Linked DNA regions of Caenorhabditis elegans. The protein of the gene in region 1 purifies or fractionates together with the protein of each later gene. This does not show direct contact. Each region holds a gene or a part of one and is shown in the gene's direction. Other genes may lie near its edges.

Evidence for each region.
Region 2: the proteins of rbm-28 (region 1) and glrx-10 fractionate together in Caenorhabditis elegans (co-fractionation; one large-scale study listed by BioGRID). This does not show direct contact.
Region 3: the proteins of rbm-28 (region 1) and cyn-7 fractionate together in Caenorhabditis elegans (co-fractionation; one large-scale study listed by BioGRID). This does not show direct contact.

The regions. Positions count from the first base shown.
Region 1 is NC_003280.10:14,853,661-14,862,399, forward strand, and holds the start of rbm-28 (RRM domain-containing protein), read left to right. Parts: upstream 1-3,598; 5' UTR 3,599-3,600; coding exon 3,601-3,784; intron 3,785-3,847; coding exon 3,848-4,880; intron 4,881-7,303; coding exon 7,304-7,616; intron 7,617-8,739. Other genes in the region: R05H10.7 (aralkylamine N-acetyltransferase), read left to right, coding at 1,876-1,977, 2,654-2,864, 2,922-3,289.
Region 2 is NC_003279.8:1,046,244-1,053,581, forward strand, and holds glrx-10 (Glutaredoxin-1), read left to right. Parts: upstream 1-3,352; 5' UTR 3,353-3,359; coding exon 3,360-3,443; intron 3,444-4,161; coding exon 4,162-4,395; 3' UTR 4,396-4,484; downstream 4,485-7,338. Other genes in the region: Y34D9A.7 (PSP proline-rich domain-containing protein), read left to right, coding at 99-335, 1,713-1,943; Y34D9A.8 (Low-density lipoprotein receptor domain class A), read right to left, coding at 4,681-4,886, 5,673-5,782, 6,326-6,434, 6,551-6,611.
Region 3 is NC_003283.11:15,183,728-15,190,576, reverse strand, and holds cyn-7 (Peptidyl-prolyl cis-trans isomerase 7), read left to right. Parts: upstream 1-3,198; 5' UTR 3,199-3,216; coding exon 3,217-3,285; intron 3,286-3,333; coding exon 3,334-3,585; intron 3,586-3,699; coding exon 3,700-3,894; 3' UTR 3,895-3,995; downstream 3,996-6,849. Other genes in the region: cyn-3 (Peptidyl-prolyl cis-trans isomerase 3), read right to left, coding at 255-506, 557-625; bath-36 (BTB and MATH domain-containing protein 36), read right to left, coding at 1,032-1,315, 1,365-1,936, 1,997-2,103; Y75B12B.3 (Transposase), read left to right, coding at 4,317-4,553, 4,604-4,651; Y75B12B.1 (Mos1 transposase HTH domain-containing protein), read right to left, coding at 5,169-5,259, 5,306-5,526, 5,572-5,868; fbxa-84 (F-box domain-containing protein), read right to left, coding at 6,536-6,733. UniProt on the Caenorhabditis elegans protein: PPIases accelerate the folding of proteins. It catalyzes the cis-trans isomerization of proline imidic peptide bonds in oligopeptides.

The DNA.
Region 1 (8,739 bases):
TGACAGAATTGGGGATTTTTTTTGGGAAAAAAATGTCTGCCAGAAAGATAAGAGGGACGTGGAACAAAGGTTGAGACTGTACAATATTTGACTTTTAATTTTCTGCAAATAACTATTGTGTTATTCAGAATCTAGAACCCGGAATGTTCACGAATTTATTATAAAACTGAAAGCACAAGACAAATAGTTCAAAAACACCTGTATGCCATAGTCCCTTGTGGTTTTTTGGAAATTTTCACTAAAACTTTCAATTTTCCAGGTTTTAGAGAAAAAAATTACGAAGTACCTCCAAATCATAAATAGTGAAATCTCAGTGTTTACCTACTTTCTCCTTTATTTTCAAAGTCGACCGGAAAAAAACTTTTTTTTGGCTTGAAAATGTTAGAATTTGAATTTCAGAATTTTCCGGCAAATCGGAAAATTGCCGGAATTGAAAATTTCCGACAAATTGCCGAGTTGCCGAATTTGCCAGAAACACTGTGATTGCCGAAAATTTTTCGGCAAATTGTGATTTGGCACTTTTTTGGAAATTTCAGAATTTCATTTTTAATCAGCAAAGTTGTACGCATCCTATCAATGTTCATATATCTATTTTGAAAAGTAAGTAAATTCTATGAAAATATCTAAAGAAAACAGCAAAAAATTTCAAAAAGGCACAGTGTTTTCGTCTTATAAAAATCCCTTAAACTTCCGACAAATTCGGCAAATTGGCAAATTGCCGGAATTGAAATTTCCGGCAATTGCCATCTGACCCCTGAGTTCTATATTGTTTTGGTGAACAAACTCAGAGATCACCTTATAAAACAAAAAGTTATCACCTGTCTCTCCAAAACTCTGCAAAAAAATTGGTTTTTGAAACAGTGATCGTCCACAAATACTATACCAATGTGCACTTCATATCAACTAATGTCTGGTTCTTAATCTCTGTGAGTGGCAGTTTGAATATTTTTTTGTTGAATTGTAAGAGCATGGCCAAACTGGCAAAAAGTCGAAAATAATCAAACATTGATCTCAGGTCAAAAATTAAAGTTTCTTGATTGACACGTTAAAGTTTAGACAGGAAGTTCAAAAATTACAGCGCTTTGTTCAAATTTTGGAAACAACAATATCCTAGAACTTAGTATTAAATTAACATTATTAAATTAATATTAACTGGTGAGATTTTTCTGATCCTTGATATTTCCGATTACCTGTGACTGATCTCTGATTGGAATTGAAAATTATTTTCTTCTTCGACTCTGATGATTTCAGACCTATTTACGCAAAAAACATCAGTCGCGAAACATTATTGTGTTCATTGTTAAAAAAGAAAAAAAAATCAAAGACTATTCAGACGCCATAAAAATAAAAACCGTGGGAATTTTTTTAGAGTTTGAAAAAACATTTTTATACTTTTTCAGAGCTAGTTTTCAGTGACAAATGCAATTTCAAGTTATTTAGTTTCACACTATCATAGCAATGATGGTAATTCATTTACAGTAAAGTTAGAACACCCTTCATTAACAGTTGTAGCTCGACAGTTTTGAATTTTGTTTTGTTTTTCAATTTAAATTATTATTTAAAAAGATAAGCAACGCCACAGAAATATTGACGTCGGCTTGTCGTTTTTTAAATTTAGTTTAAAAATTTTAAATGTATGTCCTTGTCTAGTCCTGATTTGGTAACATTTTTCGTAAATTTCAAAATTGTCGATTCAAAATTTTTTTTTCTGCTCTCAAATTTCCCAGTTATCACCACCGTCCTACCACTTGCAGAATATGGGCGGAGCATAATTTCCTTGCCAATTTTTGTTCTCTAGAAATGTGATGGAACACGTGGACACTATCGACATGAGTACAAAAGTCACTGTAAATTTTTTGAAATTTCAGAAAAAATATGCCAGAAGAACTTATCTACCGTCTGGCGAAGAAGTCAGATGCGCCTGATGTTTTGAATTTTCTACTGGAGCACTATTTCCCGCTGGAGCCGTGTACCAGGGTGAGTTACAGTAACCCATCCAGATTATTTTTATTTTTTATTTGAACCAAGTGGGTCCCGCCACGATGGCCTAACATGTACAGATAAGGCCAGCGCAGTATTTCTACAGTAACACATCGGCAAATTGCCAGAATTGAGAATTTCTGGCAAATCGACAAATTGCCGGAATTGAAAATTCCCGGAAAATCGGAAATTGCCGGAATTGAAAAATTCAGGCAAATCGGAAAATTGCCGGAATTGAAAAGTTCCGGCAAATCGGCAATTTACCGGTATTGAAAATATCCGGCAAATCGGCGATTTGCGGGAATTGAAAATTTTCGGCAAATTGGCGATTTGCCGAAATTGAAAATTTTCGGCAAATCGGCGAATTGCTGGAATTGAAAAATTCCAGGAAATCGGCAAATTGTCGGATATTAAAATTTCCGGCAAATCGGCAAATTGCCCGAATTGAAATATACGGCAAATCGGCAAATTGCCGGAATTGAAATTTCCGGCAAATCGACAAATTGCCGGAATTCAAAATTTCTGGCAAATCGACAAATTGCCGGAATTCAAAATTTCTGGCAAATCGAAAAATTGCCGGAATTCAAAATTTCCGACAAAACGGCAAACCGACAATTTTTCAATTACCGAATTTGCCAAACTTGAACTAGGCCTAATTTTATTTCATCTCCAGGCCCTAAAACTAATCAAATCTGAAGCGGAGGTACTCTACGAATCGCTGGTGGCGAGATGCCTCCAATTCCCATTCTCAACAGTAGTCACTACACAGAGCGGAGAAATTGTGGCTTGCCTGGTGAATTCTGCCTGGAAACGAGATGATAATGCTGTGGAGGGTGCTGATTATGAAGTTGATGAAGGGTTGACAGAGAATATGACTGCTTTTAGTACGTTTCTTTTAATTGAAGTACAGCAAAATCCACCAAAATTTGATAATCTTTCAGTCAAAATGCTCAACACATGCCACGAAGATTTCTGGAATCTAGCTCCCCAAAACATAAATGTAGTGCTCCACCGTGAAGTCTCAAGTGTATCGGAAAAGTATCAGCGACGTGGAATCGCTACGAAAATGCTCACAACCAATATGCCAAAAGCCAAACTTGACGAATATTCAATTGATGGTGTGCTCTCTGAAACGTGTTCCTTCGGAAATCAGGTTCTTCTGGAAAAACATGGCTTCAAGTGTCTCAAGACGATACCCTACACCGGCATTGTGGATTCTCAAGGAAATCAGATTTTGAAAACGGATGACGGATCCACGGAGTTGAAGCTTAACTTCAAGCTTATCGGCGATTTTGAAATTTTGGATTAATTTGTGTTTTTATTTTTTTCAAGTTAGGGCAGGCCCTCACTTAATAAAATTGTGTTTCAGTAAATTTGTTCTTCTTATGCGTATTTAAACCTCAAATAATAATATTAATAGTAAAATATATTAAATTTCAATTTCCCGCTGCGGTGGCCGAGTCCCTGCCGGCCGCCGGCCTAGGTTTCGCACACTTCTCGGCCATTTTTTCTATTTTATTTTTTTCGTTTTTTCGTTTTTCCACCAAATATTTTACGTTTTCCAGTGTATTTTTCAAGTTTTAAAGTTACTTTTGCTTAGAAAAAATTATATTTTCAGAAATGAGTCGCGGTGGATTCAGGAGTTATGGGTATAATTCTTCTTCTGGTGGAGGTTATGAAGGAGGCTATGGAGGAGGCTATGGCGGAGGCTACGGCGGATACAGCCAAAAACGAAATTACAATGATTGTGAGGAGGATGGGGAGCAAAAATACGCTGAAACAGAGCAATTTGAGCACAGAAATCGTAAGAACTCCCTGATTTTAATTTTAAAAAATCAATTTTTAAAATAATTTCGTGTTTTTTCAGCAAACCGCGAGCCTCTCCAAAAACGTGCGAGGCCAGAAGCCACTGAAGGTGAAAAATCAGCGATTCGGAAGCGTTTCGAGCAGGCAAAGCTGAAAGAGTGGCGTCTTATCATCAGAAACCTTCCATTCAAGACAAAAAAGGAGGATCTGCAGAATTTATGCTCAAATATCGGAAAATTCGTGGAAATCGTGCTTCCACCGTCGAGAAAGGACCCAAAAACTTGCGCAGGCTTCGGCTTCATCCAGTTTGTCGAGAAGGCCGACGCGGAGAAGGGCCGCGAGTTTTTCAACACGAATAAGGTGCTCGGCAGGTCGGTGGCTGCGGATTGGGCGCTGGATAAGGACACTTACGAGACGAATGCTCATGAGGAGAAGCAGCATTTGAAGAAAGTGGTGAAAGTGGAGAAGGACGAGAAGCCGGAGGAGAAGAGCAAGAAATTCGATGAGGAAGAGGGTGAGGAGGAATCCGAAGGTTCGGAGGATGGATCAGAAGCTTTCGAAGCTTCCGAAGCTTCCGAAGACGACGAGGATGACGAAGAACCAGCTAAGAAACCAAAAAATCCAAAAGCCCAGCTCAAAACCGACGAATCTATCACAGAGGGGAAGGTGGTGTTCCTGAGAAATCTGTCCTACGACACCAAGGAAGAGCTCATCAAGGAAGAGCTCTCCAAGTTCGGAAAAATCGATCTCGCCATCATTTGCAAGTACAAGGACAGTGGCCACTCCAAGGGAACCGCATTCGTCCATTTTTCCACACCAATTGAGGCTTCCAACTGTATTGAGGGTGTCGAAGACGGTGTTATTATTGATAATAGGCTTGTGAAGGCGAATCTGGCGATTCCGAGGAAAGAGGCGGCTGATATGGAGAAGGAGAAGCTCACCAAGGTGCCAAAAGACAAGAGAAATTTGAGATTGGCCAGATTTGGACTGATTCGTGATGGAACTGCGGCGGCGGCCGGGATGAGTAAGGATGATGCGGCGAAGAGGGAGAGAATTGCTGAGGCGATGAGGAAGAAGCTCGAGAACACGAATATGTGAGGGTTTCCTGAAGAAAAATCGGATTTTCAGCCATTTTTTCACAAAAAAAAACGGCGAAGTTCTGTAAAAATCCCGTTTTTCGGTCATTTTTCCCGAATTTTCAGCCATTTTTTCACAAAAAAACGGCGAAATTCTGTGAAAATCCCATTTTTCGGTCACGTTTACTTGATTTTCAGCCATTATTCACATTTAAAAAAAAACCGTGAAATTATGTGAAAATTAAATTTATCCGTTGAAATTTCGAAAAAATCTCGTCCCTCGGTTATTTTTTTCCGGATTTTCAGCCATTTTTTCACAAAAAAACGACGAAGGTACGAAAAAATCTCGTTTTGCGGTTATTTTTCCCGGATTTTCAGCCATTTTTTCATTAAAAAACGATAAAATTTCGAAAAAAAATTCCGTTTCTCGGCCATTTTTTCTCTAATTTTCCGCTATTTTTTTCACTATAAAACGGTTAATTTCGAAAAAAATCCCATTTTTTCCGGATTTTCAGGCATTTTTTCACTAAAAAACGGCAAAATTTCAAAAAAATTCCAAAAAAATATCGGTCATTTTTTCACTAAAAAACTATGAAATTTCGAAAAAAATTCCGTTTTTCACCCATTTTTTCTCTAATTTTCCGCTATTTTTTCACTATAAAACGATTAATTTCGAAAAAAATCCTATTTTTTTCTGGATTTTCAGCCATTTTTTCACAAAAAAAACGGCGAAATTCTGTGAAAATCCCGTTTTTCGGTCATTTTTACTTGATTTTCAGCCATTTTTCACATTAAAAAAAACGGTGAAATTATGTGAAAATTAAATTTATCCGTTGAAATTTCGAAAAAATCTCGTCCCTCGGTTATTTTTTTCCGGATTTTCAGCCATTTTTTCATTAAAAAACGATAAAATTTCGAAAAAAATTCCGTTTCTCGGCCATTTTTTCTCTAATTTTCCGCTATTTTTTCACTATAAAATGATTAATTTCGAAAAAAATCCCATTTTTTCCGGATTTTCAGGCATTTTTTCACCAAAAAACGGCGAAATTTCAAAAAAAATCCCGGTTATCGGTCATTTTTTCCACTGATTTTCAGCCATTTTAGTATAAAAAATCGGCAAAAATCTGTGGAAATCCCGTTTCTTGGCCATTTTTTCCGGATTTTCAGTCATTTTTTCCATTAAAAATCGGCGGAATTCTGTGAGAAACCAATTTATCGGTCATTTTTTCTCAGATTTTCTGCCATTTTTTTCACTAAAAAACAATGAAAATTCGAAAAAATCCTGGTTATCGGTCATTTTTCCCTGATTTTCAGTAATTTTTTCACTAAAAAACGGCGAAATCTCGAAAAAATCCCGTGTCTCGGCCATTTTTCCCTGATTTTCAGCAATTTTTCACAAAAAAAAAACGGTAAAATTTCGAAAAAATCCCGTTTTTCGGTCATTTTTCCTTGATTTTCAGTCATTTTTTCAATGAAAACAATGAAATTTTGAAAAAAAAACCGTTTCTCTGTCATTTTTCCGGGATTTTCTGCCATTTTTTTCACTAAAAAACTATGAAATTTCGAAAAAATCTCGTTTTGTGGTCATGTTTCCCGGATTTTCAGCTATTTTTTTTCACCAAAAAACGGTGAAATTCTGTGAAAATCCAGTTTGTTGGTCATTTTTCTCGGATTTTCAGCCATTTTTGCCCTGAAAAAATATGAAATTTCGAAAAAATCCCGTTTCTCGGTCATTTTCCCGGATTTTTAGCCATTTTTCACTAAAAAACAGCGAAGAATTGGCTTTTTTTAAAATTGAAACAGGGAAATTTTGTAGAAAAAAAGGAATTTATCTCTTCAAATTTGAATAAAATCCAGTTTTTAGCTATTTTTCGCTCAAAATGCGCATTTTTCACGTCAAAAATTGGAATTTTTCGCTAAAATGTTCATTTTTACCCTCAAAAAGTTGAGAAAAATCTCATTTTCTCTGAAATTGCAAGAAATTTACAAAGATTAGTGATTTTTACTCTTGCAAATCGAAAAATTCCGACCAAAAATATAGTTTTCTTATTGAGCAAAATTTGAAAAATTGCTAAAAATCACTAAATATTCGATATTTTCGCTAATTTTGGCCAAAAAATTGGCTAAGTTACAAAAAATCCCAGAAAAAATGAATTCTCACCAGTCTTCAGTAGGAAGTCGGATAAAAATTGGGAGTTTCGTTTGTAAATTCAATTTTTTCCAAAAAAAAAAAAAATTAAAAATTCTCGTTTTAAAACTCAATTTATCTGCAAAATTGACCAAAAATATAGTTTCCATTCCAAAATGTTTTTAAAAATTATTTTGAAGAAAAAAATTGGAAAAATCCCATAAAAAGTCAATTTTTCACCAGTTTTTTTTCAATTTCTACTGAAAATTTCAGTTTTCCCCAATTTTTCCGCAAAAACCTCTAAAAATTCCAGGTTCATCTCGCCAGTCCGTCTTTGCATTCACAATCTCCCCCAGAAAATCAACGACGTGAAGCTCAAAGAACTGGCTCAAAAATTCACGTCACCAGGAGCTCTGATCACCGAATGTCGTGTCTGGATGGACAAGAAGCGTCTGACACCTGATGGAAAGCCCAAATCTTCGGGATTCGGATTTGTGGCATTTAAAGAGCACATGCACGCGTTGGAATGTCTCAAAAAGCTCAATAATAATGCGGAGACGTTCCACAAGGATCATCGTCCGATTGTCGAATTTTCTGTGGAGAATTTGCTCGCCTTGCAGGCCAGAGTACGTGAAAAAAATAATTTTAATATCCAAGATTTTCACTAAAATTAGCTTAAAATTTGTCAATTTTGCCAAAAAAAAAATTGATTTTTCTCACAAAAAAAAACACCAAACTTCTGAAAAAGAAATCTTTTTTTTTGAATATAAATTTCAAAAAAATCCCGGTTATCGGTCATTTTTTCACAGATTTTCAGCCATTTTAGTATTAAAAAATCGGCAAAAAATCTGTGGAAATCCCGTTTCTTGGTCATTTTTTCCGGATTTTCAGTCATTTTTTCATTAAAAATCGGCGGAATTCTGTGAAAAACCAATTTATCGGTCATTTTTTCTCAGATTTTCTGCCATTTTTTTCACTAAAAAACAATGAAAATTTGAAAAAATCCCGGTTATCGGTCATTTTTCCCTGATTTTCAGCAATTTTTTTCACCAAAAAACGGCGAAATTATTTGAAAATCCCGTTTTTCGATAATTTTTCCCAGACTGCCAGCCATTTTTTCACTAAAAACGGCGAAATCTCGAAAAAATCCCGTGTCTCGGCCATTTTTCCCTGATTTTCAGCAATTTTTCACAAAATTTTTCACAAATTTTGGCCAAAAAATTGGCTAAGTTTTAAAAATCGGAAAAAAATATAAAAAATAATTTTAAAAATCCAGGATTTTCACTAAAATTAGCTAAAAAATTGTCAATTTTGCCAAAAAAAAATTGATTTTTCTCACAAAAAAAAACGCCATATTTCTGAAAAAAAAACCTTTTTTTTTGAATATTTTACCTAAAAATGATGTTATTTCAGTAGATTTTTCGAAAAAAAAGAACAAAATAGACATAATTTTTAATTGAAATTTGCTGAAACGTCGAAGTTTTGTTTTTTTGAAATGTTATGAAAAAATTTTTAAGTTAGAAAATTCCTTTAAAAAATTCGAAAATTGACACAGGGGTGGGCGAAAAACGGTTTTTTCCGGCAAGTCGGCACATTGCCGGAATTCAAAATTTCCGGCAAATCCGCAAATTGCCAGAATTGAAATTTCTGGCAAATCGACAAATTGCCAGAATTGAAAGTTTCCGGCAAATCGGCAAATTGCCAAAATTGAAATTCTGGCAAATCCGCAAAATTCTGAAAATGAAAATT
Region 2 (7,338 bases), on another chromosome or scaffold:
TTTTTCTCTAAAATCATTTGCTTTGGAAAAAATTTGAAAAAAACACTTTTTTTTCTGAAATTCAAAAAAATGTCACTTAAAAAAAAATGTCATTCCAGGAAGTTGCCAGAGATCACGAGGGCACCGAGAAAATCCGAATTCGTGAGGAACGTCACCAGCGATCCGAACTTCGGAAGATCCGAGAACAGCAGAAAGAGGAGGAGGAGCAACAACAACGAGATAGTGCAGAGAAGGTGGAGAAGGAGGTTACTGTAGATCAAACCATATCGGAGGTGGCAGCGGCGGCGGCGGCAGTCGAGGAGAAGCCTGGGACCCCGGAGCCCGTTGGGAGAATGGTAATTTTGAAAGAAAAAAAAACCGATTTTTTACCAAAAATCAATCATTTTGCCATTTACCATTTTTTCCAGAATATTGATTTTTCCAAAAAAAAATTTTTTCTCAAGAAAATCTATTTTTCCAAAAAAATTCGATAACTTTCCGAAAAATCTATATATTTCCAGTTTTTTTTTCAGTAAAAAAATTTCCAGAAAATCGATTTTTCCAAAAAAAAAAATCCATATTTTTCTAAATTCAATACTTTTTTCAAAATAAATCGATATTCTTTTCATTTTGCAAATATTAAATTATTTTGTCTAAAAATTTTTTTCCAATCGATTTTTGTAAAAAAAAAGGTTTCCAAAAATATAAATTTTAAAAAAATCGATATTTTTTTTAAAAACCTGTTTTTTTTCCAAAATTCCAAAATCCTTTCAACTTTTACCAATTTTTTTTTGAAAAAATTCGATATTTTTCAAAAAAACTTTTTTTTTAAACCAAAAATAAATATTTTCCAAACTATTTAAGTTTTTTTCGAAAAGTAAATATTAAAAATAAAATAAAAATGAACTTTTTTCCAAGTTCATTTTTATTTTTTGAAAAAAAAAACGTTTCTAAAAATCTTTATCCTTTAACCAAAAATAAATATTTTCCAGAAAATCGATATTCTTTATAGATTATCGATTTTTTTCCAAAAAAAAAAAATGTCCTGAAAATAAAATAAAATACACATTTTTCTCTATAAGTCTATACTTTTTTCCAGAAAAAATTGAATTTTCTCAATAAAAAATTGATATTTTTCTCTAGAATGCTATATTTTTCCAAAATAAAATCTAAATTTTATTCCAGAAAAAAAGGTATTTTTTCTAAAAATCAAAAAAAAAATCCAAGAATTCTATATTCTCAAAAAACGGCATTTTTCAAAAAAAAAATCATTTTTTTCAGTAAAAAAATTTTTTTTTTCTAAAAATCAATATTCTTCCAAAAAATTGAAATTTTCATCGATTTCTCTCCCAAAAATATATATCTCCAGAATATCGATTTCCAATTTTTTTTTCAAGGTTTTTTGTCCAAAAATCGATTTTTTCTTTCCAAAATTTTTCCAAATTTTTTTTCCGGTGAAATCAATATTTTTCAATATATGTAATTCCAGATTATCGATTTTTTCTTTTCAGAAAACATATTTTTCCAAAAAAAAAAAACGGATAAGAAAATCGATTGCCGGAATTTTGTTGAATACCGGCAAATTCCCAGTTTGCCGATTTGCGGGAAATTTACAATTCCGGCAATTTTCCGATTTGCCGGAAAAAATCGTTTTCCGCCCACCCACCTGATTCAAAAGTCGATATATTTCAAAAATTGATATATTTCCAAAAAATAACAATATTTTTCCACAGGGAGAATCAATTTCGGAATTCATCGGCACCCCGATCTTCTCCCGCCGTGACGTCACGGGTACGTGGATTGAGGATACTGTACCATCGCTCGAAGCGTTTTCCGTCGGCATTGTGCCATTCGAGGCGAAAGAGGAGGAGAAGCCACGTGGCATTTTCAAAAAAATTATGAGTACTTTGAAAGGGATCACTGGAAGAAATAGTGGAGATGATGAGATGAAGAAGAAGGAATAATTTATTGATTTTTTTTTTTTTTTTGGATTTTCGACTTTAAAATTAGCCTAAATTTATCCTAAAATTATCCTAAAAATTAAAATTTCACATGGTTGACAAATTTGCAGTGGAGCGCATTTGCAGAATTTTTTTTTTGAATTTTTTTTTCATAAAAAGCGTAACATTTTCCAAATTAATGGGATTTTTAAAGGAAAAAATTATCCCAAAAATTTTAATTTTCTAATTGAAAAAAGTGTTATTAGCCCAATTTTTAAAGGTTTTTTTTGCAATTTTCATCAGAAAAAGCGTTAAAAATATCAATTTTTCGTGAAAAGTTGATGAATTCTCTCAAAAACTCGGCAAAAAGTACCGCCAAAAATTCAAATTCTCCAATTTTTCATCTCTACCAGCAAATTCGCGATGGAGCGCATTTGCAGAGTTTTTTCAGAAAAATCGTAAAATTTTCCGAATTAACGAGTTTTTTTTTAAGTAAAAGTGATCCCAAAAATTCAAAATTTTCCGATTTTTGAAATTTTTTTGGTGCAAAAAAACTAATTTTCAAATTAAAAAAAAGTGATTTGTCTAAAATAAAAAGCGTTTAAAAAAACCTTTTAAAAATTTTTTTTCCCAAAATTCACGTGGTGCCAGGGGCTGTCCCATCGACGGTTTGATCTACAAAAAATGCGGGAGTTTTTCGCCCAAAAATGTTGTGACGTCAGCGCTTTCTTAACCATGCGAAATCAGTCCCCGCGCATTTTTTGTAGATCAAAGTAGATCAAATCGAAATGAGGCATTCTGACACCACGTGAAAATTTCAAATTCTCCAATTTTTCATCTCTACCATCAAATTTGCGATGAAGCGCATTTGCAAGGCCTTTTTTTAAATTTTTTAAAAACTCCTTAAAGTTAAAAAAAATCATTTAGCTTTAGAAAGCCCAAAAATTAAAAAAAAATTTTTTTTTAATCGAATATCAAAAATGCATTTGTGCTCCACCGCACGGCGGTAATTTCGAAATTTCTTTAAAATTTTTTTTATAAATTTCTGTATTTCACAACTGTATTTTTTCCCGAATTTTCCTCGCCTAATAACACTATTTGTCATGATTCTTACGTCATTGTCGCCGCCGTTTCTCTTTTTCTCTCGCCACTCTCTCATTTCCATACACTATTTCCACTCTCATTTTTATCATCATTTTCTTCAGTTTTTGCTGCTTTTAAAGCCTATGTTTTCCCTTTTTATATAATATCGCAGAATTTTGTTTTTGTAAATTTAATATATATATATATATATTATTTATTTGATGATAATGTGATTTCTAATTTTTTTTTCCCCAATTTTTTTCAAATTCAAATTGTCTCTACGCTTTTCTTATACTTCATTGCCTTTTTTTTTCAACAAAAATTTGAGAAAAAACACCAAAAAATTTCAGAAAAACCATGTCAAAAGCCTTTGTCGACGGACTTCTCCAATCTTCCAAAGTTGTCGTATTCAGCAAATCGTACTGCCCGTACTGCCATAAGGTAACACAATTTTTCTGAAAAATTTGAATTTTCCTCGAAAATTGCTTTTTGTCATCAAAAAAAAAAAAAAATTTTTCTGAACAATTTTGTCCTAAAAAATTTGCTTTTTTCTGGATTTTCAGCGAAATTTCCCAATTTTTTTGAAAAATTTATTCCAAAAAAAATTATTTTAAAAAATCGTGTGCAACAGAGCGCAGTTGCACCAGTATGAAATTTTGCAAATTCAATTTAACTTAAAAATCAAACATTTCTGTATTTTTCTGAAAATGCAGAAATTTTGGGTCTCGTAGCGATTTTTTTTGAGAAATTTTCGGAAAATTGAAGACAACGGCAAAAATCAATAATTTGCGAAAAAATCTGTCACGGGGTTCTGGCATTCCTCATTGAATTTTTCGCGCTCCATTGACAATCGGCTGCCGGACAACGCGTGGGAAAGTGTCGTGTACTCCACACGGACAAATACATTTAGTTTTACAACTGAAATCGAGCCGCGACGCGACACGCAACGCGCCGTAAATCTACCCCAGATATGGCCGAGCCAAATGGCCTAGTTCGGCAAAAACTCTTCCATTTCAATTTATGAGGGAAGCCAGAAATCCGTGAAAATTGAGAAAAATATTATCCATTTTCAAAATCTTTTTTTTGCAAAATTTTTGAGTCTCGGATACATTTTTTAAAATAATTTTTTGAGAAAAATTAAAAAACCCCAATTTTTCAGGCTCGTGCTGCTCTTGAATCGGTCAACGTGAAGCCCGACGCTCTGCAATGGATCGAAATCGACGAGCGCAAGGATTGCAATGAGATTCAGGATTATCTTGGCTCTCTAACCGGAGCCCGCTCGGTGCCACGTGTCTTCATCAACGGCAAGTTCTTCGGCGGCGGTGACGACACAGCGGCCGGAGCCAAGAACGGAAAACTCGCCGCACTGCTCAAGGAAACCGGAGCTCTATAGAATTTGAATCGCCATTAATTTTTATGTATTTGATTTATTTTTTTCTTCATAATTCAATGACACAACCCGAGATAAAAGTGAGAAAAGAGAGAAAAGTAGTACAGCCAAAACACGTGGTGTTAGCAGAGTGTCTCATTGCGGCTTGATCTACGCTGATCTACAAAAAATGCGGGAGAAGAGACGCAGAGTTCTCACATTTTTCTGGGCAAAAAATTCCCGCATTTTTTGTAGATCAAACCGTAATGGGACAGCCTGGCACCCCACGTGCCAAAAAAAAAACGAAATTCAAGAATACATAGAACTGATTAGAATATCGTCTTCGTCGGAATCCTGTTGCAGTATGCTCGGGCCCCCGTGCCCGCCGCCACGTCGATTTCGAAATCCGGATTTTTGTCGTGATCGCCGACGAATCACAGCGACTACGGCAACCGAGAGAACGAAAAACGCGACAAAGGCGAAGAAAATGTGCGAGTATTGGATTGTGACGGTGCCTGAAAATTAAAAAAAAAAGGTTTTTGATGAATATGCGCGTAAAATTCGGTGTGTTGCGAAGTTTGGCTAATTTTTGGCGCATACCATGAGATTTACTGCAAAATTTTCAAAAAAGATATGTTGTTTCACACGTGGTGCCAGGCTGTCCTATTACGGTTTGATCTACAAAAAATGCGGGAATTTTTGTGCGAAATCGGTTAAGAACTCTGCGTCTCTTCTCCCGCATTTTTTGTAGATCTACGTAGATCAAGCCGAAATGAGACACTCTGGTGCGCCACGTGGTTTTACATAGTTTAATTAAATTTGCGCGTAAGATATGGTGTAATATGGTGGCTTTCAATTTGAAAGTTTGCAACAATTGCGCGTGAAATATAGTGTTTTTTTGAGGTTTGGGATTAGTTTGCGCGTGAGATGCAGTGTGTCCTAGTTCAACAGAATCTTGCTCGTATGGCGTAGTATTACAGGGAACACAAAATTCTGAGAATGCGTATTGCACAACATATTTGACGCGCAAAATATCTCGTAGCGAAAACTATGACTACTGTAGCGCTTCTGTTGATTTACGGCCGCTTGATTTGTTGAAATTAATTAAAAATTTAAATTGAATGTCGCTGTGGCTATTCGAAAATATATTCATTTCGACAATCGAGATCCCGTAAATCGACCTACAGTAGTCATTCAAAGAATTACTGTAGTTTTCGCTACGAGATATTTTGCGCGTCAAATATGTTGTGCAATACGCGTTCGCGTAATATAGTCTTCGAAATAAGAAAAATCAATAATACCTGAAGATTCAGCGGTTATCGTCGTTGTCTCCTTCACCGCCGCTACGGTGGCCTGCACATTTGTCTGTCGTGGTTGAGCAACTCCCTCACGAGCCATCGGCGCTCCGCCCCTGGAATATCGATTTTATTGATTTTTTATAGAGCGCAATAGACTCTACATATTTGTGTACACAAACCCCATATCGAATAACTCCGGAAAATCGGTGATCTCCTGTTGAAGAATATTCGAGAGAAGCGAATCCGCCATTTTATCGATTTTTTTTGGATTTTTTTTTCAACAGGAAGTGGAAACTGGAGGAAAAACGAGCCAAGGAATTGGGTGGAAAATTTGATAATTTTACTGATAAGGAAAATGTCGTCAAAATGCTATATAAAATATAAATTTTATTTCGTAACAAGCGTGAAAAAATGTACCGCACAGCAATGACTATTTATTGATTTTTACAAGCCGCACGTGGTGTCAGAGTGTCTCATTGCGGCTTGATCTACGCTGATCTACAAAAAATGCGGCAGAGTTCTCAACTGATTTCCCATGGTTCAGAACGTGCTGACGTCACATATTTTTGGCCAAAAAAATCCCGCATTTTTTGTAGATCAAACCATAATGGCACCACGTGGAGCAATTTCTCATTGGAGCGTGTTTGCAACCTAACCTCGCTTCGCAATTCCACTCGTCGGACCCGTCGGTGCACTGCGTAATCCCGTCACAAACGTCATAATGTGCTATGCATTCTCCGTTTCGACACGCCCATTCCCATTCCCCTGAAAATAGAAGACATGGCTTAAGTTTCTCCGAGATTTCTAGGCCATTGAAAATCAAGCCGATGCGCTCCACTGCAAAACAGTGTGCAGTGGAGCGCATTTGTATCGCAACTCACGTGGACATTGTGGTAGAACGGGTCTTTGTGCCAGACGATCAATATTCGATTGCGGTTCGTACTGAAAATTTTTGGGGAATTTTTCGAGGTTAGAAAGTGCGCTCCACCGATGTTTCACTTGAATTCAATGTTTCATGGATTTCTGGCTTCCCTTATAAATTGAAATGGAAATTTCTGCCGAACTAGGCCATTTTGGCTCGGCCATATCTGGGGTAGATTTACGGCGCGTTGCGTGTCGCGTCGCGGCTCGATTTTAGTTGTAAAACTAAATGTATTTGTCCGTGTGGAGTACACGACACTTTCCCACGCGTTGTCCGCCAGGCGATTGTCAAATGAAAAAGGCCAGAACCCCCGTGTTGAATGTTTTTGAAACTTCTTCATGAGTAAACGCGCTCCATTGCAAATTAAAACGTGTACTTCACGTGGACAAGTCAATTTTTGATTTTTTGGATTTTTTTAAAATCAATAAAAAATGGGTCAAAATCGACACAATTCGTTTGAAAAAAGTAGAAATAAAGTCGATTGTAATCAAAAATCAAATTTTCAAGTCAGAAAGAACGCTCTACTGATCTTTAACGCCGTGTACTCCACGTGGAAAAGTGAATTATCGATTTTTGGGCTCAATTTACTGGAATTTTCAAAAAAAAAAAAAAAATCTTCTACAATAATCTACAGCAGTGGTGGGCGGCAAACGATTTTTTCCGGCAAATCGGCAAATTGCCGGAATTGAAAATTTCCGGCAAATAGGCAATAGCCGCCAACCTCTGATCTACAGTACCCGCTACAAA
Region 3 (6,849 bases), on another chromosome or scaffold:
ACTGATACATTCAGCTGCTCTTTCTCATAAATCATTCAATTTCTCCTAACAACGGCTCAGCACTCCATCCTACACACAACGTGCTGTGAGATATGTCTGCGTCTCTCACAGATACGACAATTTCCGGAAAAGCAACATTTAGAAATCTTCAGTTTTCCCTCTTTTCGGAGAACAAACAGTGATATTTTTCCCAAATTGAGCAGAAAAAAACATTTTCTCGAACTTCAAACAGATTCAGCTGACGATTTGCTTACCATGGAGAGGACTCCTGGTCCGGTGTGCTTCTCCTTGAAGTTCTCGTCTGGGAACTTCTCTCCGTAGATGGATTCTCCTCCAGTTCCGTTTCCGCGGGTGAAGTCTCCTCCCTGGATCATGAAGTTCGGGATGATGCGATGAAACTTGGATCCCTTGAAGTGGAGTGGCTTTCCAGACTTTCCGATTCCATTTTCTCCGGTGCAGAGAGCGCGGAAATTACCGGCGGTCTTTGGGACAACGTCATCGTAAAGCTGTAAAAAATTTATTTATTGAAGATGAAAATAGCCAAAATTTCACAAACCTCCATGACGATACGTCCGGAAGCCTTACCACCGATGGTGATGTCGAAAAAGACCTTTGAGCGGCTCATTGTTGAGGCAAGAATAGGGAAATTACTGAAAAATCATAAAAATTACATAATTTAAACGAAAATCGATAAAAAATCTGAATAAAAAACAGTGAATTCGCATGAAAATTCAAAAAATGGGACCGAAATGGAGAGCGGCAGAGAAATTTCGATTTGTGGGCGGGGTCAGAATGTTCGCTCCGTTGATAATTTGTGAGACCGCGAAGTTTGAATAAGGTTTTCTTTCATCAGCAGAGCGTGCTTACATTCTTCTTTTTGGTGGTAGTTTAAATTTGAGTTTTTTAACCAATCAAAAATTAACAGTTCTTCGCGGTATTTTTACCTTCTCCTTAACAAAAAATAATCTGCAGTTTTGAAAACTGAAATCAACAACAGAATTTATCAACAACAAATTCAACAAAGCTTGGAGCTAATCTTCCAAAAGATCAATGAGCTTCTGAAGCAACGCATTGTAGGTTATATGATCGAGAGATTTATAATTTTCGTGATGCTTCAACGCAGTAACATCTTCGCTGGTCTCCAATTGCGAAAGGCATGCATTTTGAAGCCTTGAGAGTCTGTAGACTTCGGCGAACTTCAGCTTGTCGATCAAGTGGGTCTTTTGGTCCAAAATCAAAAACGTTTCAGCCTTTTCCAGAACTCTTGGCACCGCGAATCTATCGCTCAGCTTGAGCAAGTGAGACACGTTGGAACCTGAAAATCCGTTAATAATTCCAAGCCTCAAATAAAAAAAAGAACTTACTATTAATGAGCATGTGAGTGGGGTAGATCACATTGAGCAAATCGATAAACTCAGAGTGGGTCACATCATCGATTTTGATCTCAGCCTGTGTCTTTTCGGCGAAATTCGAATAGAACATTTTTTGGAAGAATTGCGAGCTCGTTGCGAGCACTTGCTTGCCAACATGGACATGTTTTCCTTCAAGCACCAGCACAACATCGGTAAGATGTTCCTTGGGTTGATCGAAAGTCTCGATAATCCTCTCATGAATTCCGGCAATCTTGTTGACAGTAATTTGGACTTCAAGAACGGCATGCTTATCGAGCACAAATCGATTATCGTAGCAGATGGCTTCCTCCCAATTTTTAAAATTGTTGACCACCACAATCTTGTTCAAGTCGTCGAACTTTTGCTGAAACTCCATCGAAAACGCGTCATCATCCTCGTTTGAATTGAGTCTCAGAAGTGAAAAACGAATTGACGCATCGCAGGACCACAAGTTGCTGCGCAGTTCCTCGTTGCATTTCAGGTGAATTCCGAGATGTTTAGCATTGTTCGTAGCGTCGGAAGTGCTTGTGAATGCTCCAAGAATCCTTAAAAGATAATATTTTAAATAATTTAGAACATTTTTTGTTTCATTAAAATTCACTAACCATTCTACGTGTCCAATTTGCACTGGTTTGTGCTCCGTCGCCTTCGCCAAGCCAGAAAAATTTTGAATCTCAAAACGAATTGATCCTTTATTGTCTTTTCCAGACATTTTATCTTGTGATAAATTTAATTTGAACAATGAAGAAGAATTTGAAACAAACAATTTAAGCTGAGCAATGCTCTCACCTACAGTACACTAAATGGCTTCGAGACCAGTCAAAATTTATAAAGTTTATTGGTCTATTTCTAGGACTTTCACATTAACCATTTTTAGCACATCACGATGTATTTTGTGCAGATTTTATTTTGTCCTTGTACGAAAAGATTATTTTTTAGCGGATAAGCAAAGCTAATCTTGACGAACCGCTTCGCAGATACCCGTCACATGCAGAGCTTCATATTTAGCTCAATCGATCTCGAAAGCATTCAACAAAATGAAAAACTGTTGGATTAATTTGTGATCTATTTAGCAATTTAAAATGTTCTCAATGTTTCTCAATGTTAAATCATCTCGATATTTCTCCTTCTTTTCGTGAAGACCGTGGTGATGATCGAACTGATATCAATGACCGGTTTTTCAATGTAATCTTTTATTGCCTACAAAAATTGTTATCAATTTCGGCGCCGTTCTGTTGTTTTGTGTACGATCATTTGAAAACACAGGCGCACGGTGAAAGTGTTGACAAAAGGCGGGAAACACAGCGAAAGTGTCGTCAGATATGGCGCATGTCGTATGATTGGGTGTCGGGTACGCAGACACTTTTGCGGACTTTGTTGTTTACGTCGGAAAATTCTAGAAGCGAACGGCTCATTTCTTCTCTCTTTCGTCGCCTAATTTGTTGATTTTGTCAGAATTTTTATAGTTTCGCTTATTAAAATGAATTAAAATCAATTGAAAATTATTTAAGAACTTTTTTGATGTGCAACTGTCGTTTAATCCTTGTTGAATCACGTCTTTCGGCAGATTTTAGGCCCAACAGGAAAATTAATTTAGTTGGGCCTAAAATTTTCTGTTTTAGTGCGCTAATTCACTCCATTTCAGTATATAGCTCATCCGTGTGCTTCTTCCTTGTATCTTATGGTGCTTTGTTTATATTTTTAACTTTGATTGATTCCCGCTCTATTACCGCAGAGCGTGTTTGCCGCACCTCTGTAGATATACCTATCTCATACATATTTCTCAACTATAACTCAAGCATTTTAGTGATTACCCTACCTGAAAATGAGCCGCCCAAGAGTCTTCTTCGACATCACCATCGCCGGAAAACCAACCGGACGTATCGTTATGGAGGTAAACAAAACACTGATCTTTTTTCATGAAATTAAATCTTATTTTCAGCTCTACAACGATATTGTTCCAAAAACCGCTGAGAACTTCCGTGCTCTTTGCACTGGTGAGAAGGGAGTCGGAAAGTCCGGAAAGCCACTCCACTTCAAGGGATCCAAGTTCCATCGTATCATCCCAGAATTCATGATCCAGGGAGGAGACTTCACCCGCGGGAACGGAACTGGAGGAGAATCCATCTACGGAGAGAAGTTCCCAGACGAGAACTTCAAGGAGAAGCACACCGGACCAGGAGTCCTTTCCATGGTAAGTTATGTTGCCTAGCCAGATTGAAAGACAGCATAAACTGATAGAAAAGAAGCATTATCTAGTTTCTTAACTGTTATCCACTGGCTGATAAGTTTCATTGTTTTTCTTCAGGCTAACGCTGGACCAAACACCAACGGATCTCAATTCTTCCTCTGCACCGTCAAGACTGCCTGGCTCGACGGAAAGCACGTCGTTTTCGGACGTGTCGTCGAAGGATTGGACATCGTCAGCAAGGTCGAGGGCAACGGAAGCAGCTCCGGAACTCCAAAGTCCGAGTGCCTCATCGCCGACTGCGGACAGCTCTAAATTTGTTCTCCGTGAGAACTTTTCTTCTTTTCAATCACCCCATCCAACCCTGTTTATTGCTTCACTTTTTCATCTTGATCATCAATAAATTGCTCGAAAAGAATATAGTTGTTCAGTTACATGGGTCGTACTCGAGGAAGCCTTCGTGAATTGTTCTCAACAGCTTGGAGAGAACTGTAACATTGTAGAAGCGATTGAAAGCGTCGATTTCCGTCATTTTGTTCCAATCTCTGCGCATTCTATCCTGAATTTCAGACAACCGTTCGAACTCTGTTGACTCGTGAAGAGTAAACACATAAAATGGAATTGTTAGAGGAAAAGCTGTAAATTGTGCAAATATTCAGATTTCGAGCATAAAATGTAGGCATTGTTGCCAGCTCTTCACATTCTTTTGGTTATTCTCACTTGTCAGATTCCTAGAAATGTTTCCCGAGATTCTTAATAATGAAAAACTTCGATTGGAGAACATTAAGAAGATCTATGAATCGAGCAAGTCTGGTTATGAATCGGCCAAACAGTTGTATGAGCAGCAGGTCAACAATCCGGAAGTTTCGGATGAGCAAAAGTCGGAGAATTTGGAGAAATTGAAGGAGTCTCGTGGTGATTTGGACAACTTGCAGAAGAAAATCGTCGAGCTTCAGGCGAAGATTGAGAACTTGGTTAGTTGAATACCTTTTTAATAAAGCTCCAGTAGTCTCTCCATTTTCAGAGCAAACTCGGCGGGCAACAAGGAAATCCATTCAAGAAGTTGTTCTAATTTTTGATATTTTCTTAAATGAACTTTCTTCCAGTTACAAGAGTATTACAGGCGCTAATATTTATTTACAATTGTGGCAAGCTATTTCAGAAAATAATGTGCGGGTTAGTAGGTTTGGGTTGTACACAAGAATGATTTTAGTCCTCGTCGGAGCTCTCTTCCGAATCCTCTTCGGAATCCGAGTCATCATCTCTCCGAGCGCCGATCCCTTTTATCTTTCCGACGAGCTTTTTGATGAGAGATGGCTTGTTCTTCTCTTCGTATTCTTCCAGATTATCGTGAAGCTGAAAATTGGAACATTTATTGTGAGAAGGCTTTTTGAAAACATACTTGAGATCTGAAATCGACGATCTCTTCAGCCGAAAAGTTCGCGACAATGAACTCTCTGATAGCAGGCTCTCCGAATTTGCACATCTTCAGCACGTGCTCCTCCTCATCCGAAAAATCACCGTAATCATCATAAATTTGCAAGTATTTCTGGAAATTCTCAATTATTAGGGCATTCAACCCCAGAACCCTACCATTCCACAGAATCTCCAGAAACACGTTGAAGCTGCGAAGTCTCTTCAGCCTCTCCATCATTTGTGAAGCCATCGTCTTGTCCGGAGCTACAAAACTAACAATTTATTTTGATGAAGCTTATTATATATTTGCCTTCCCAAAGTGACTGCGGCAGTCATATCGAGACACAAATCATGATCACCATTGTAGAATCGATTCCACCAGAAGTCGAACTCTCTGACGCCCATAGACTCGTTTCCGAGAGCATCGCAGAAATCTTTGTATCCTTGGGTAGAGTCTTTCAGACTGAAAACTTCGTAGAGGACGCAAGAACGAACGAATTCCGGATCTTTGCACAGAGGAGAAGTAATGAACTGAAAAGTAAAGGAGTTAATCGAGAAATTTGAAATTTTTTAAACCTCCAAGTGCTTTGCTTTCTTCTCAGAACGTGACGGATCCGATCTCAGGATTTGCCCATTCTTTGCACGTTCGAGCTCGTGGTCAATGGCATTTTGTGAGCTGATCTCAAGACCCAAATCGTGATTTCCGTCGTAAAAACGTCTGTGCCAGAACTCGAATTCCCGATTATGCATGATGTCGTTTCCGAACGTGCTGCAGAAGTTAGCGAATCCCTGAGAAAATGTGTTCAGCTTGAACACCTCGTAGAGAACACATGTGCGAAGGAAGGCTGGATCAGTACGCAAGGAAGAAGCCATAATCTGAAAATGAAAATTAATGAAAAGCGTAATACATAGTGCAAAATGGAAGGGAAACATGGGAAAACCAGGGAAAGAGAAAAAAAGTTAGAGCTGGACCAAATTTGGGACAAAGGAGAAAAGAAACGAAAAAGAATTCAATTTTTACCGCGCGCAGAATAAACTTATTTGATCTACGGATAGGTCAAAATTATATAGATCTGATCAAATTTCTTTTCTGAAAAAAAAAAGTTCTGATTTTTTAAACCGAACAACAAAAATTTTCCGTTTTCCGATGTTTTGAAAAAAAAAATCTAACAAAAGAAACACATTTCTAGGAAAAGAAAAAGTATTTGCAAGGTTCGAGTTTCGAAAAACTATGTTTGAACCGTGCCACGTGACGCGTGGTTGCAGAAAAAGCGTGCGGCGCTTGCAAAAATGGGCGGATTAGCCACACGCGCTCTCATACTACTGTAGACAAGAACATGTGCAACTGCAGACTGAACACTCTATTTGACGCGAATATGCAAAACATGTTTTCTTCCGGATTTTTGCCACGCCTTCCAGCTTGTTTTTCATCATTTTTCCTGAAGAAAAAATAAATATTTCATTTATTTGTTATTTACCAGTTTTTAAGGCCTTTTAGAATAATTTAAAGTTTTCCATTGGGGGATTCCGAACAAAAAATTTAAGTATGAAAAATTTTCTTAATCTCAAAGTGATGTGGACTAAAATCAATTATAAAATTTGCATCACACGCTTGGTAATTGATTGATCCACTCAACGGGCCTTCATATTTCGGGTCGAACACTCTTGCAAGCTCCGTAGATCGGTTTTCCGGGAAGAAAAGTTTAGCGTACTGGAAGTGGGCAGATACTGTGAGGATCTGGAAATGAATTTTATTTAAAATTTTATTTTGAAATGCATAAATAAATTTAGATGTTTCCTCTACTTTTTTTGAAAAAAGGGCCTGTTCTGAGAAATTTTATAGGAAACCTAGAA